Lonchura striata: one gene and its partner. The protein of the gene in region 1 interacts with the protein of each later gene in a pairwise test. Links are inferred from orthologs where the notes say so. Each region holds a gene or a part of one and is shown on either strand. Other genes may lie near its edges. The genes, in order: FAM168A and UBE2V1.

Region 1 (7,721 bases):
CGTGCTGAAGGGAAGAGAGGGCTCACAGAGGAAGATATCAAAGTTGCGTTTCCCTCCTGACAGCTGCTTTCCCTCCCAACAACTGCTTTGCAAAGAGCTGGGAACGTGCTCAGGGCTCCTGGCTGGGAGCACGCAGGGCTCCGAGGACCTGAGGAGCAAGGTCTGAACTGCCAAGCACACCTGGACCCAGAGCCAGAGGGAATTCTGCTCACAGCTCTGCCAGCAGGTGACATCCCAGAGGTGAACATCCCACTTCCCTGCGAGGGAGAGCGGAGCCAAGCCCATGCCTTGGAGAACTTCCCAAAGGCAGGCAGTGCCCTGGATCCCATGCACACCTCCCTGCCTGTGCACCTCCCAAGCTGAGCTCTGCCAGGCACAGCACAAAATTCAATTTAGCCCCAATTCAATTATCATTTTAATTATGCCTCCAGCGCAGGTACTGAAGGCCTTTCACAGAAGTGCTGCTCCAAAGCGTTCTCGCTCTCCTCAGAAATGTTTTCAGCACCTCTCTGCCTTGTTCTTCCCCATTACCCCTGTGGTGGGTTAAGGATCATGGGGACCAGGGAAACTTCACTTGATTTAAAAGATTTTAAACCCCCCTGGGTTGTTCACCACTGCAATGCAGGCTCACCATGGAGTTGGACAGGTGAGTATCAACCAAGAGCAGAAAGCACCTCCACAAATGTTCTCCCTAAATGACTGTATTCCGGTTATGCCATGTAAAATTTTCTGCAGTTTAGGTTTCTCATGCCGAGGAATATTTTCTGAACAAACTCCAAACACATTCTGCTTCCAGTCCCTTTGTTCCAGTGGATATAGATCTACCTGTCCAAAGAAAGTGTGTCTTTGCTGACAGCCAGGAATTTTAATCAGCTGAAGAATACACCACAAACCCCCCAGATCTGGACAATAACATCTGGAACACTTATCCCATTTTCCCTTAAAAAAAAGCACAGGATTTGGGAGAGAAAGATTCCTTCTAAAAAAAGGTCAACATTTGCTTTGGTAAATAAAAAGTTCAGATGCATAACAGGGTAAGTTGGTATTTGCAACTTACAGAACAAAAGTTAATCAGATTTAACATAAATTTAATGCAAAATACACAATGCTGATATCAGTCCTTTTAATAACTATGTATATATAACAAGAATAAATATACAGATCATAGTTGTTGTTTGGGGTGTTTTTTCAAATAGACTCAACCATAAGGATCAAGAGAATCTACAAAACAGTTAAAATTCAGAATCAGAAAGAACTGGGAAAAAAAAAGAAAATAAGCATTTGGCCTCTTCATACTAATTTCCTTTTTCTTTACATTGCTCAACATTGCTTCTCAATTTGAGTTCTAATCAACAACCACTTCACAGCTCACATTTTATGAAATAATGCAGTTGATGCAATCAAGTCCAGCAAAATGTTTCCCTAAAGATGTTTCCATCATTCACATTCCTTTAAAAACACACACACACACAAAAAAAGGCTCTGACTTCCTCCATCACTATTTAACAGCAAAAATAAACACACCACTGCATCTTAAATCATATTCAGATTAAAACAGAAATAGAATCTTTCTGGGGTTTCTTTCTGCTTAGCACAACATGTCTTTGTCCAGGAGAGGGGGGAAAAAATACCCTCAACCTGCTCATTTTTCTGCACTTGACAATAATGAGCACCAAATAAATAAAATTCAGCCTATGGAGACACAAATCATAACCCAAAAGCTCATCACCATGTGCAGTGGGGGGCAAAAACGCCTCCCAGACCCAACCCGGTAGAAAACCTCTTTCTGCTGATGAATATTTATTTCATTTTCATACTTCCAGGCTCCCCTGCTTTCTATGAAGGACTGAAACCAAGCTCCTTTTTGACATTATTCACCCACAATATAGCTATGGACTTCGCTGCCCTGAACACCACAATGCCAACAACAGAGCATGTGAGCAGTCCTTATTAAAAAGACATTAAAAAAAAAAAAGGGGGGGGGGGGGGGGAGGAGGGGGTTGGGGATATAATCCACATTTTCATAAAAAAAAAACCCGACCGGAACACGCATTTTATCCGGGCAGAAAAATCTCAACACCGCCTCGCATTTCCCAGCCTGGACGTCCCTGCTTTCATTCCTGTGGATGCTGCGCGCCTATATCCCCCCGCTCCGCGAAGCCTTTAACCATTTTATCCCCATTTCATCCCCATTTCAAAAGCGTTTCGCCCCCCGAAGAGGAGGGCTGCGGGACAGGGCTGCGGCTCAGCCCGGCCCCGGCCGTCGCACGGAGTTGCCGGCAGGTCCGGTCCCCATGCCCGCTGCCGGCCACACGTGCCCCTCGGGACATTTTGGGGGGTTCGCCCATCCCTGGGGGATGCCCCCCAAGCCCGGGCATCCCGTCCCCTGCTCCCACGGATGGGGGTGAGCCTGGGGCGGAGCACAGCCCCTGGAGGGGACTCAGCCCCTGCCAAGGGGGCACAGCAGATTTTGGGGGGCAACAGGCTGGTAAGGGCGGGGGGGTTGGGGGGGCGCACAGCCCGGTGCGGGAACAACAGGCTGCACTGGGGGGATGGACGGGGACACACAGCGGACTCGGGGGACACCAGCCCGGGGGACTACGGGAGGGGGGACCCCCGGCAGAGCCCCCGGGGAGAGCGGGCTCCTCGAGGACACAGCGACAGGCGCGCCGGGAGCAGCGGGCTCCGTGCGCCCGGGGGGACACGGGCTCTGCCGGGCTCCCCCCGCCCCGGGGCTCCGCGCTCCGCTCCCCGCCCGGGGCTGGGGGGATGCTGCCCCGCCGCCCCCTCCCTGTGCGCTCCGGGGCAGCCCCCGGCCGCCCCCCTCCATCACCACAGTGCCCCCACGCCGCCACCCCTTTCCCGCCGCTGTCACCCGGGGGTGTCCCCCTCTCCCTTCCCCTCCCCTTACCTGCGGCTTCTCGGGCGGCGGCGGCCCCTATGCCGGTGCAGCAGCTCTCCCTCTCGTCCTCCTCCTCCTCTTCCCGCTGCTCCCGCAGCCGCCAGCCGGGAATGGGGGGGGGTAGAGGGGGCAGTACCACCAGCGGGACCGTTACAGCCGCCGCTGCGGGGACTACAACTCCCGGCATGCTCCGCGCTCCGCAGCAGCTCTCCGCCGCTGGCCGCCCCGCGCGAGGGATTATGGGTAGCGTAGTCCGTGCTGCAGGCGGGGGAAGGACATAAGGCGACAGGGCCCGGACGGGCGCGGGGCGTGCTGGGAGGTGTAGTACAGGATGGGTAGAGCCGCCGGACATGGCGGGAGTTGTAGTTCAGCGAGGCATGACGGGAGCTGTAGTCCGAGGAGGCTGACGGGCGGCAGAAGGCCGCTCCGGGAATCCCACCGGGCTGTGCCAGGTGGGGCTCCGGGGCGATCCGCGATCTGATCCCGGCTCCGGGAGCCCCTTCCCGGATAACCTGGCGAGCGCAGGGCCGCGGTCCGGGAGGGGAGCGGGGAGCCGCGGGCCCGGCCTGGCGTGCCGCCCCCACAGAGCTCTGCCTGTGGCTCCTCGCGCCCACAGCAGCCTCAGCCTGTCGGGGCAGGGAAGGAGCAATTCGGGAGGAGCTGCAGAGTGCCGTGGGTCTCATCCCACGGGAGGGACGCGAGGGCGCTCCCCCGCCCCAGCCCCCTCACGACAGCGGTTCGGTGGGGATTGGCGCCGGGAGTCGCGGGCCCCGAGCCCTGCAAGTGGAGCCTGCCCTGGGAACGGGGACAGCGGTACCGGGGGTCCGCTCCCTGCCCCGGGACGCGCTGCCCTGGCTGCGGGGCATGACAAACATCCCTCCCGCGGGATTCCAGCGGCACCAACGGGACACGCTCGGCTGCAGGAAAAGGAGCTGCCGAGGGATTTCACCAGGTGCCACCTGTCCCGAGAGTGGCGATGACGGGAACAGCAAGTTCTGTCCCCACGTTCAGCTTTGAACCCCCAGAGCTCCCTGGAATCTGGGGAGACCCCCTGTGGAAGACAGGGATTTCCTGAGACGTGGGAAGAGTGTTGGAAGGCTGTGGCTGGGATGGAGATCCTCACCAGGCATGAGCCACAACAGGCAGAGCTGGAGGAAAAACAAACCAGAGGCATCGAAGTTCATGGATTTTATTAAACAACACCCCACTGCTGTGGAAAACTGCGGGGGGAATCCAGGATCTGGCTCTTCTGAGCGTGTACTCCCACATGGCATCCTCTCCTTTTGCTGGCTGGAAACCCTAGCTAACAAAAAAAAAAAAAAAAAAAAAAAAAGACCAAGCCCCCCCAAATCCCCCACTGGCACCGTTTCCTTCCCAAGAGGAAAACCACAATGGAAAAGTTTTGAGAACTAATTCCAATTAATGTCTGTTTGGAGAGGTAGCCCAATAACCCAGGACAAACCCAAATTTCAGCCCAAATCCTTTCCTAACGGAACATTTTTCCGAACTCATGGCAGGGCAAAGCTGGATTTCCAAATAATTCCCGTGATTTTGGGAATATTCAGCAGCGGCAGGATGTTTTGCAGCCCCATAACCAGCACGGGGGGATGCACAAGGCTGTGAGTGTGGCCTGGCTGAGTGGGTGATTCCCATTTAACTCCTTTGGGATCGTCCAGCAGGCCGCTGGATTAATTTAATTCCTTCTGAAAAATGAATTAAAGCCAATGCTGGAGTGAGGGAGAGGAGGGGAAAGGGCTTCACATTGAAAACCATGCTGGAATAGAATTTTTTAATATATATTAATTGTTGCCATGTGCTCAATAAACATATTTTATTAACGACCCAGCCTCAGCTGTCACCTGACTTGTGTCTTGACTTCCCCAAATAATCCAACCTCATGTCCCAGAGCCCAGGACAGTTCTGATTCCTGCCAGGACAAGCCTTGATTTTGTTCGCTCCATCTGGAAATTTATTTCAGACAAGCACTTCGGTGCTTAAAACTTGGATTTTTCCTGTTTATGCTTTTTGGCACCAGACACCTCCTCAGACCCATTCCCAGCACCAGAGGAAATTCCTGCATGCCCCAGGCATCGCTCCCTGTGCCAAGCTCGGTGTGGAGCAGCAGCTTCCCCCCCTCCAGACCCCCAAATTCGGGGGTCCTGCTCGGGTGAGCCTCTCCAGGGTCACCCACAGTGCTGGATGTGCTCCGTGTCCGGAAGAAAGGCAGGATTTGAGGAGAGAGCGCGGATGGGAGCTGCTGGATAAATCACGGGCACGCCGGCCGCGCAGGCGCCGGGCAGCAGCTTTTTGGGGCTAAAGCTCTGGGAAGCGGGGTTTTCCCGGCGGGCAGCACTCGGGGATGCTGGTGCCGGACTACAGCTCCCGGCGAGCCGCGCGGGCGGGCAGAGCCGGGCGGCGGGAGCGGAGCGCAGCGCATCCCGCAGCGGGCACCGCCGCCTCCGCCCGGTGAGTGAGGGATGCGCGGGGCTTCGGGGAGCCGGGGGCGGCGGGCCGGGGCACGGAGAGTGCCCGGGGGACCGGTACTCAGAGGGGCGGGCTCCCGAGGGGGGCAGAACCGTGCAACGAAAAGTGGGTACGGAGCAGGGAAGACGTCAGGGATGTGGGATGAGGGCACCAGATGTGGGTACCGAGGGACTGTAAGCAGAGTGGGATGAGGGTGGTGGCACAGGGCTGTGAATGCAGAGGGATGGGGGTACCTGGGGGTGCCAGGGGATGGGGGTATCCATGGGCTGGGATTTCCTGGGGATGTGGCAGTACAGGTGATGGTACCAGGGCTGCAAACGCCATGGGGACCTGGATACTCGGGGGTTCAGGCATTCGGTAAGGCAGGCACAGAGGTGCTGGGAGGGTGTTTGTGGCTTGCCGTGCCCCCGGAGCTGGTGGGAGATCCTGGAGGCCATCCCAAGCTGCCGAGTTCCCATCACTGGGAGCTGGGATTCCCAGTGGATACGGGGGCCATGGCCAGGGAACTGCTCCTGCCTGTCCCTGGGGGTTGGCTCTGCTCGGGGACTTGGGGAGCGATGACTTCATGGCCTTATTAAGGACTCATTTCTATCCAGGCAGGGAAAATAAACAAGTGTAGGTGTCGTTCAGCATGGAAAGTTACTGGGGCTGTGGGGACGCACTGCCTGTTTTCATACACAGCCCGGATTTCTCCACTTACCTCCACGGACTGATAATCCCTAAATCCCAATGAGATTAAAGGCAAAAGGAAAGGTGGCCAGAGCGCCTCCTTCGCGACATTTCCCAGATGACAAAATCCCACGTCGGCCTAACCCTGATTAACCCAGGCACTGAGCTCATCTCCCAAAAATACCAGGAGCAGCAAGGGTGAATCCCCATCCCTAGAGCCATGGGTAGAGCCGGGGTGAGGCAGGAGCTGCTGTTTTAACCCCATTATTGTTCCCATCCCAGCAGATCCGGCGAAGCCTGCGGCAGCCATGGCGCTGGTGAAGAGTGGCTGGCTTTGGCGGCAGAGTAAGTGCCATCCTTGAGCTTTCTGAGTTGGGAGCCCTCCAGAAAAGCCCGGAGAGGTTTGCTGGGAAGAGGTGGGGTGTGGGGGACACAAGGAGCCCCAACCTTGACAGGTAATCCACGACAGCAGGGAGATTGTGGCTCAGCCGCTCGCGGATTTACGTCAGCGGAGAGAGGGGCTGCCTGCCATGAAAACACACACAGCTCTGTGTCCGGGGCTGGATCTGCTCCCGTGCGCTCGGCAGGGCAGCACCCAGTGGCCTGATGGCTTTTTTGGCAGCCTTTTCCCGCTTACAGCCACCTGCTCACACTGCCCCGGATGCTTGTGCCAGGCACAGGTGTCCTGTGGGATGCAGCGGCTCACGGGTGGGATCCAAGTGTGGGGGATGAGATTGTGAGCGTGCCGGCTGTGTCCCACTGGGCTCGCTGGGCTCCTGCACCCGCTCCCTGTCCCACCAGGCTCCATCCTGCGCCGCTGGAAGAGGAACTGGTTCATCCTCTACCTGGATGGCAGCCTGGTTTACTACCACGACGAGACACAGCAGGACATGGACGGCCGGATCCACATCAAGTACAGCTGTCGGGACGTGCGGATCGGCCGTGAATGCAAAGGTGAACCGAACCCCTCGCTCCCGAGCCCTGCATTCCCAACCCCATCCCACGTGTGGCTGCATTCCTCTCAAACGAGGCTCCACCTGTGCACATCCAGCAGACCCCCAAATCAGCCCATTAATAACCCCAGGCTGCCTCGTTCACCCCTCCTCGCTCCCAGCCAGGAGATGCTGGATGGTCTCTGCTGTTGCTTTTCCTGGGGAAAGGAAGGAGGGAAGGAAGCAAGGAAGGAAGGAAGGAGGAACTCTCCTCCTGGCTTGTGCTTGTAACAAACAGGATCCCACGGCCCTGACTCATCGCTCACGTCTCGCACAAACAAGGGGAACAAAGCAGCAGCTTGGCGGGCCCCGCAGCCCACGGCCGCCACACAAAGTGCCTTTCTTGGGCTGGGAGTGGCCATGGGAGCACAAACCCACTGCTTTGTGCTCACCACAGGGTCCTGCCAAGCTTCAGGATGGGGGAAGACACACGAGCCTCAGGGAGTTAAGATTTTGCTCTTGCTGGAGCTCATGATCCCACTCTAGCAATAAGCATCTCCTGTTCCTACAAAATTTGGGTGCGCCCTGGCAAGTTTAAAGCACAGGCAGCTCGGCCTCATGGCCTCCAGCAGCTTTTTGGGGGTTTGCTGCCCTACCATGTTCTTTCTGCCATGGGGGTGGAGGTTTCTGCCCATCAGCTCATTCCTTGTGTTGGCTTTTAACCTGTGAGAGCC
Region 2 (7,966 bases), on another chromosome or scaffold:
CTCACTGTGCTCTCGCAGGCTCCTGGCAGAACTGCATAGACAGTGTGGGGGAAGGTTTGTGATCAGCTGCAGGAACTCGGAGCCTCAGGGAGCATTCAGTGGTGCTGGGATCTGATTGCCTGGGCTCTCGAGCTCAGGCCACTAATGGGGTTTGTTCACTAAAGCTGCTCAAAAAGAGCAGAATGTCCACAGCTGCTCTGGAATGCTCATTTCTAAAGGCCAAGCTTCTGGATTTTCAGCATCCACTCATTCTGACTCAGAGGTGGACAGGTCTGCAGAAAGCTTTAGCTTCCTTTTATATCCATACAGGTGGGAATGCTCAGTCACCAGTGTTGCACAATCCTAAATAAGTTATCAAGTTAATCAGACAGCTGGAATTAAACCATCCTGGTTCTTCATTCTCTCATTGGCTTTGACAAACGGTTCATGTGGGTTTTGAAACCTCTGCCAAGAAAAAAATCTAATTCTCATTAGCAGAATGTCATGTAGAAACATGGTACAATTAAGAAGCCTGACTTGACAGATGGTAGCAAAAATCTTGCCACCTAAAGAGCTATTTTTAAGTCCTACTATGTGCTGAGAGTTTAAGCCTGACCATTATTAGCAGTATTGGGCCGGTTGCTTCTTTTTCTCATTAAAAAAACGCTGAACTTTGGACGCTATGACAAACTAATCCTCTTTCTCCTTTGCAATCCATTAGGTTGGCTGAATTATCCGTTAGAGAAGATAAGATTTTGGAGATGTTTGGAGAACATCATCCAAGGACTTACTGGGGAGAAGCCAAGAGCAGATGACATGAAATGGGCTCAGAAAATCAAATAACTTCTGCCAGCCTTCTGCAATCCTTAACTTGTTGCCAATGTTGTTTTTAAAAGAAAAAAAAAAATAATAAAGCCATCAGCCAAATTCAAGACCTGCAAAGAAATAACAGACTCTAAAGCACAAACTAAAAAGTGCTAACACAGACTGCAATGAAAAGAACTAATTCTTAAAACAATACTTGAAATGAAGATGATTACTCTCACTGAGCACCTTTTTGTGTAGCCATGTCTGCTTACACCTTAGAGCTTGCTTCGTCGCTGTATCCGTGAGGTACCGGGCACGCCGGGGGCACGTGGGGCGCAGGAAACGTGTGTTGTATCAACATTCCCAAACTTCCCGGACAGCCTGCGGCCCAGGACCTGCGGGGAGAGCGCTGGCAGGGTCGGCACTCGGTGTTGGAGTGCGGGGCACTGCGTGAGAGCGGGGGGAGCAATGGAAGCCTGGAAATCATGACTGCTCAATGCACGGTGATTGATCCACCTACAGCTCTGTCTGCACGATCATGTTCAGCCTGATTGATGCCATGTGGAACAGACCTCGAGAATCCCGCTCCTCCAGGGGCCACCAATCCTCAAGTGTCTTCAGTTTCCCTTAAAACAAAATCGTTCTACTCTCCTCGTGGAATTGAGTTTCTGCATAAGCCTTCAACTTCAGGGGCCTCTGAGGGGAGGGAGGGCACCCTACAGCACATGTGTCTGTTCGTGTGGAGTGCTCACTGCTGAGTCTTCTATCAAGTGTTTCCTACCCTGACAATAAATGTTTGAAATAGTTCTAGCATTGGGCACACTGCAAATAGCTGTATTCAAGAGCTCAAGGTATCAAACTCGTAATGTTAGAAGGGAAATGTCAATGACCGGTGTTTTGTTCTTTTTATTTTTTTAAGGTGCTTGCTTGTTTCTGTAAATAATATAAAGCCTTAATCTCTTCTGGTGTAATGGAATAATATTTTAATGTGATGTTTGAATGTATATAATATATTTATAACAAAGCAGTTGGATAATACTAATCACGTTCAAGTCTTGTTGCTGTTTTTCATTGCTGCACTGGCAGCACTTAGTGCGAGAGCTGGATCGGTGGTTGCACAACACCTCGTGCAGTCCCACCTGAGACACCTGGCAGCCTGTCACAGCTTGTTTGGGTTGGAGTGATCATGTGCCAGCGTTTTAGGAGCCTGGCATTATGTTATACCAGACTTCTACACCTTTGGAGAAGTGTAAGTAATTCATTCTGCTCTGGATGCAGAGGAGTAACCCCAACTGAGCTGGGGTGAGGAAGTTTCTCTAAAAACATCCAACAAGCACTTTACTAAGTTAATGTGACTTGGATCTTGTTCAGTTCCTGCCTGCCTGAGAGCTTAGTGCTGATCAGATGTAAGGAATGTTCCCTCCTCTAGCTGTAAGTTGTGTTCCATTCAAGCTGCCTCTTCCTGAAGAGCAGGGTAGGATGGTTTGGAGTCATAGGTTTAGACTGAGCTTGATCTGCACTCCTGCAGATATGGCGGATGGATTCTGAATGAGTTGGGACGTGGCAACTCTCCTTCAGTGGGAGTGCTGAATGCAGATGCTTCCGAGCTGGGTTCTGCAGATTAAAATCACTGTTGGTACCTTGCTCACCAAATATTTCATCTAAGTGCTCAGACCCTTGGAGAACTTTATGCCATGACATGAAACTTTCCTGTTCCCATTGCCGCAGTCACTAGCAGGTCTCTGTGCAGCTTTGACATTAAAGAATTCTTCCACTTCAGCAGGAGTCCCAAAATGCCTTCAGCTGATTCTGGAGAGCTCTGGACAGAGCTGGGTGGATGTTCAGGGCTCCTGTGTAAATCAGCCTGAAGCACTGGATCCTCTGAGAGCTCTTTTCACTGCAGCTTTAAATGCCGAGTGAGCAGCAGTGGTGCAGTGGATGAACAAATGGATTTGGGACACAGGAATCACCAGAATTTGGACTTCCAAAGTGTTGTTTAAGGCATTGCTGCTGCCCAAACCTCTCTTGGCCACTGTTGCCTTACTGGAAACAAACCTGAGCTACTCATACTGGTGGCTGCTGGGACGATTTATCTGTTAATCTTGCTTAATTATGAGAAACTGGGACAGAGTTAATCTCCAGATGCATTTTCCACGTGGCTGCTGTGCTGGGCTCCTGGGGCAGCCCTGGCTCTGTGACCCCACACCCGACGTGGCTGCGGCTCCAAGGTCCCTGTTCTACCCCTCCAAAGACCTGGATGCTCCCACAAAATCAGTATGGCAATTCTGGAGCAAAAGGCTGCGTGGATCCTTTTAACAGCTGTAAATCTGGCTTAAGAAAATTTGTCTTAAGTTGATTAGGAACAGATTAGAGCTGAAGCAGAATAAGGCACTCCTGTTAAACTCGTAAGGAATAGATGGCCTGCATTTCAGTCCAATGCTTTTAAATGCTTTTAAAAGCTCTGATTTCAGTCTCACCTCCACGGAGAACTCTGCTCAGGCTCCTGCTCTCTGGACCTTCAGAAGGACTCTCAGGCCTCCAGCTTTTGCCAGGGCTGCAGCTGCCTTCCATGAGTGGATCTTGTGGTCAGAAGGGCCTTGGAGGAGCAGCTGTGACCGCTTACGTGCATCCCAGGAGCAGGAGTGATCCCTGTGTCCATCCCAGGAGTGATCCCTGTGTGTATCCCAGGAGCAGAGGTGACCCCTTACGTGCATCCCAGGAGCAGGGGTGATCCCTGTGTGCATCCCAGGAGTGATCCCTGTTTGCATCCCAGGAGCAGGAGTGATCCCTGCACACATCCCAGGGATGATCCCTGTGTGCATCCCAGGGGCAGGGGTGCTCTGCACTGCAGAACCCCCCACTCAGAGCTGTCTGGGGTCACGGCTGCACAGGGCAGTGTTGCGCTGTAGTCAACTGCAGAAAATTACTGCAGAGTGCCTCAAAATCCCACTTGGAGGTTTTGCTCAGGTGTGGTCGCTGCGATCCTCCCGGGCCAGGAGTTAGCAGGGTACAAGGTGGAGGGGAGGGAAAGGAGTCACCAGCCTGCACCCCAAAGCTGTTGGGGAGCCGTGCTGCTGGGGCAGGTGGGCTCTGCCCGCCGAGCTGGGCTCTCATGCACCTAGCTGCTTCTGCTGCTGCCTTTCTTCTTTCCTTCCTGCTGCCTTTTGCTCTTTCCTTCCTCTTTCCTTCGTGCTGCCTTTCCTCTTTCCTTCCTGCTGCCTTTCCTCTTTCCTCTTTCCTTCGTGCTGCCTTTCCTCTTTCCTTCCTGCTGCCTTTTGCTCTTTCCTTCCTCTTTCCTTCCTCTTTCCTTCCTGCTGCCTTTTGGTCTTTCCTCTTTCCTTCCTGCTGCTTTTCCTCTTTCCTTCCTGCTGCCTTTCCTCTTTCCTCTTTCCTTCGTGCTGCCTTTCCCTGCTGCCTTGTCCTGCCTCTTCCTGTGCCTTTTTCCGTCCTTCCTGCTGCCTCGGGCCGGCCCGTGCTGAGCGCGGCTACAGAGAAATCTGACTGCGTGAATAAAAGGCGGCCAAAATGTGACCGGGTGAATAAATCCCAGCAGTGAGACCAGCAGTGCTGGTTTAAAGCAGCTCCGGGAGCAGCTGAAGCTGCCGTGGGTCTCCGAGACGTTTCGCTTCGTGACAATTGTGGCTGCTTTCGGAGGATGCTTTGGGCTCCGCTTTATGAGCGTGTGTTGCAGAGAGAAGTGAAGCAGAACTCATTTCCTTCCCATTTCTTTAAGCTTATTTCCGTATAATGCAGGAAGGGAGAGGGCTGGAAGAAGCTTGGCCGGAGTGTCAGGGGCGTCCCGTGCCCGCCACGGTGTCCCGGAGTCCCGGGGCCGGTGTCCGGGGCCGCACCGAGCGGCGGCGCCGCCCGCCCGCGCGGCGGAGCCGCGGGAGCGCCGCGCGTGAACCACAGAGCTCCCCGCGCGCGCCCGCCCCGCCCCGCCGCCAGCTCCGCTTAGCGCGCCCGCCCGCCCGCGCCTGTCCGCCGTTCCCGCGTTGCGGTGACGTCAGGCGGGGGCGGGGCCGGCGGCGGCGGCGCAAGATGGCGGCGACCACGGGCGCGGGTGAGCGGGGCCGGGCCGGGCCGGGCGGCGGGGCCGCGCCTCGCCCCGGGGCTCCGCGGGGCCGCGCCTCGCCCCGGGGCTCCGCGGGGCCGCGCCGGGGACGGCGGGGCGGAGGGGCGGCCGCGGCCGGGGGAGGGGCGGCGGCGCGGCCCGAGCGGGGCCCGGCGGGGCGGGGGTGGAGCCGGAGCCGGCCCCGGGTCGGGCCGCGGGTCCGGCGGGCCCGGCCGCGCCGGCCGGGGTGGCGAGGCCCGGCGGGAGCGGGGCCGGGCGGGCCGCCGCCCCCGGCGGTGGTTCCGGAGGGGACCGGGCGCTGTAAAAGCCGTTCTGGCCCGTGGCCTCTCTCTGTGTGCTCCGAGAAGGCAGTGCGTTTTTTATTCCTTTCAAACCTGCTCCACTCCGCACACCAGCTCTAAGGACTTGCACACGCTCTCCGTCCCGATCATTACATATGAAACAAAAGTACTGCAGCTCGATTTGGACTGAGGTTTTTTTCCTGTTGGCATCCTCTAATGAACTTCAACAGATCGAGTAAATCAGAGTCACTTCTGTTGAGGCAGTTTTATTTTCCTGTTTTCCCAGCCCACAGAGGGTTTCACATGTGCCCCTGTAGTGCTTGTTTCCACATTGCACTCTCCAAAGTTTGACTGTGCTCACCAGACGTATTTTGGAGTTCTTTTTGTACAGATAGTTCTCTGTCAGTCACCACTCAGATTTTAAGGATTACCGTCATACCACAATGCACATAATTCACAATAATCAAGTTAATAAAAGATTGGTTAAGTGCAGTGGTTGCTGTTATGAGAATTGTGCTACAGGTCTGTGTTTGAAGGTGTTGAGTCGAGACCCAGAAGCTGTAGCTGGGAGGAAGGGACCCTCCTTCCCCTGTTAGGTCACGTTCTCCTGCCTGCTCTGCCTTCTCAGTGATCCTTTCAGGCTGCTGACTTTGCACTTTGTGTCTGGCTGGCAGAACAAGGCCAATACTTTCCTTTTCAAGGCAGCGCAGCCCTGAGAGAGAATTGTTGGGTGTTCATGGGCGGGCAGGTGTGGGAAGGGGCTGGGCTGCAGTGCCAGGGACAGGCTGTGGTTACCTGGCAGCCGCTGGCCACGCTGTGTCTGCTGCATTGTCCCCTTGTCCCCTGGGTGTGTGGCACTGTCACGGCTCCCTGTGAGCAGGGCCAGTGAGCAGTGTGGGCACACAGCTGCGCCAGGCTGCCGGACAGACCTGCAGTGCTGCAGGAGCACTGCATGGCTGCACCAAGGCCAGGGCTCGGTCTGGGCAGCTCCGGGGCTGGGAGCTGGAGCTGTGGCTCCTGGGCTGCCCTCGGAGCACTCTGCAGTGCTGGGAAGGGCAGAGCTCCTCTGAGCTGCTGGCAAGGGCAGCGGTGCCCGGGGCTGGCAGTGGCACTGCACCGCAGGCCTGCGGGTCCCTGCTGCCCTGCAGGGGAGGCATGGGCTGGAGGTGGCACCTCGCTGTCCCCTGCTGTCCCCTCTCCGGGCTCTTTGGAACGTGCCTCACTGCTGCCTTCACTCACCTGGGAAGCACAGCTTGCTAAAGCTTCTTTCATGGAGCCTTAATGTGTACGTATTTGTCTGTAAAGCACTGGAATATATGTGATATCTTGAGTTCATGGTGGTTTAAGCAATGGAGCCTAAACACATATTGAAGATGCTCATCTGTCTTCAAAAGCAGCTATTGACCCAGAGGAAGAAGTGGTAACGAATGTCCCTGGGACCTAAAAAAGCCATAGGGCTGGACCTGGCAATTAGACAGGTGGATCGATTAGCAGGTAGAAATTATTAACAAGGAAAAAAACCCAACCCTCGGCCTGGAAGGAATGTTAGGATGTGGGGTCCATCTGTGCTACTGAGGGAGGGGAATCCTGTGTTGGTGGTGATGTGGGTTTCCCACCCACCCCATTACTATTTGAATAAAAAGAAAGGGCTGACTTTAATGATTTTAATAAGGCTGTTCATAGGAGACTCCACTGTGTGTGTGTCCATCCTACAGACCGAGGTGTCCTGCAGGAATGCTCAGCTGTCAGAGGTGATCTAGCAGGAATTCAGGGGTTCCTCAGAGGCTCCTGCACTGGCTGGGCTGCAGTTACACGACAGACCTTGCACCACAGTGCTGGCCTGCAGATTTGGGTTTTATAATGAGTGAAACCCAACCATGCTGGCCTGGGGGATTGTGTTTCTCTCACTTTCACCCTGGGAAAGGTTTAACGACCTCACTTAACCCACTTTGCTCTCACAGTTCAGTTTAGTGGCTCTGTTGCAGGGCTGTGAGGCACTGTGTTTGCCAGCAGCCAGGGAGGGCTGAGTGGTAAAAGGGTTTGTCCAGATCTAATTTTTTCCAAGTCTGAGACAGCGTGTGTGGCTGTGACAGTGCTGGTGCTCATGGCTCAATGCTCCTGCCAGAGGAGAGCACGCTTGGGGTTAGTGCAGTGCATTCAAAGGGCCTGTTTCTAACCCTGTAACATCCCTGTAAACTCCACGGGATGCTTGTGAAAAGCACAGGACAGGGCAGTGGGAGAATTGCACAATACAGGTGCACCTGCCTTTTGCAGCCCCAGGCTGGCTCCTTGGAGGGACAGCATCATCCTCATCTCAAAGGAAACGCTGCCAGCACCCAGGGCTCTCTGGGACTGGAAGGGAAAGACTCAAGGGTAGGGGGAGAGTAACTGAAGAGAAAATGCAAGATAAATTCTGGGTTCTTAAATAAGATGGGCTGTAAGAGCATGTGAAATAGGGCCAGAGGAGGTGATTGCAGGGCTTTGTGTACAGTAACAGGATGCAGTAGATTGAATAGAAAGGTAACTAGTTCAACACTCCTATGAGATGATATTGAATTCAGTATTTTCATCTTCAATTATATAAATTACATAATAAGATTGAAAAGCAGCATTCTGACTGTGAACAGGACTAATTAGTATAGTAAATATGTAGACAGGTAAGGATCCTGGCAGGTGTAACACTGACAGATTTGGTGAGGGTGTGAAAGTTGGGATTTTCAGGCTGTGAGGGTGCTGTTCAACTCCTGCAAGTGCAGCTACAGTTACTGATGGTTTGTGCCCCATTCCCCTGGTATGAGCTGGGCTCATGCCTGTACCTGGGGCT

What was found.
Region 2: the proteins of FAM168A (region 1) and UBE2V1 interact in binary tests that used the Homo sapiens proteins (3 or more experiments, as listed by UniProt). The two-hybrid records come from large-scale screens. The link is inferred for Lonchura striata from reciprocal best matches to the Homo sapiens genes FAM168A and UBE2V1.

What each region holds. Positions count from the first base shown.
Region 1 is NC_134604.1:18,427,392-18,435,112, forward strand, and holds the start of FAM168A (protein FAM168A), read right to left. Parts: upstream 3,012-7,721; 5' UTR 2,912-3,011; intron 1-2,911. Other genes in the region: PLEKHB1 (pleckstrin homology domain-containing family B member 1), read left to right, coding at 6,364-6,400, 6,857-7,009.
Region 2 is NC_134619.1:945,436-953,401, reverse strand, and holds the start of UBE2V1 (ubiquitin-conjugating enzyme E2 variant 1), read left to right. Parts: upstream 1-4,756; 5' UTR 4,757-4,827; coding exon 4,828-4,849; intron 4,850-7,966. Other genes in the region: PEDS1 (plasmanylethanolamine desaturase 1), read left to right, coding at 701-822. UniProt on the Homo sapiens protein: Has no ubiquitin ligase activity on its own. The UBE2V1-UBE2N heterodimer catalyzes the synthesis of non-canonical poly-ubiquitin chains that are linked through Lys-63.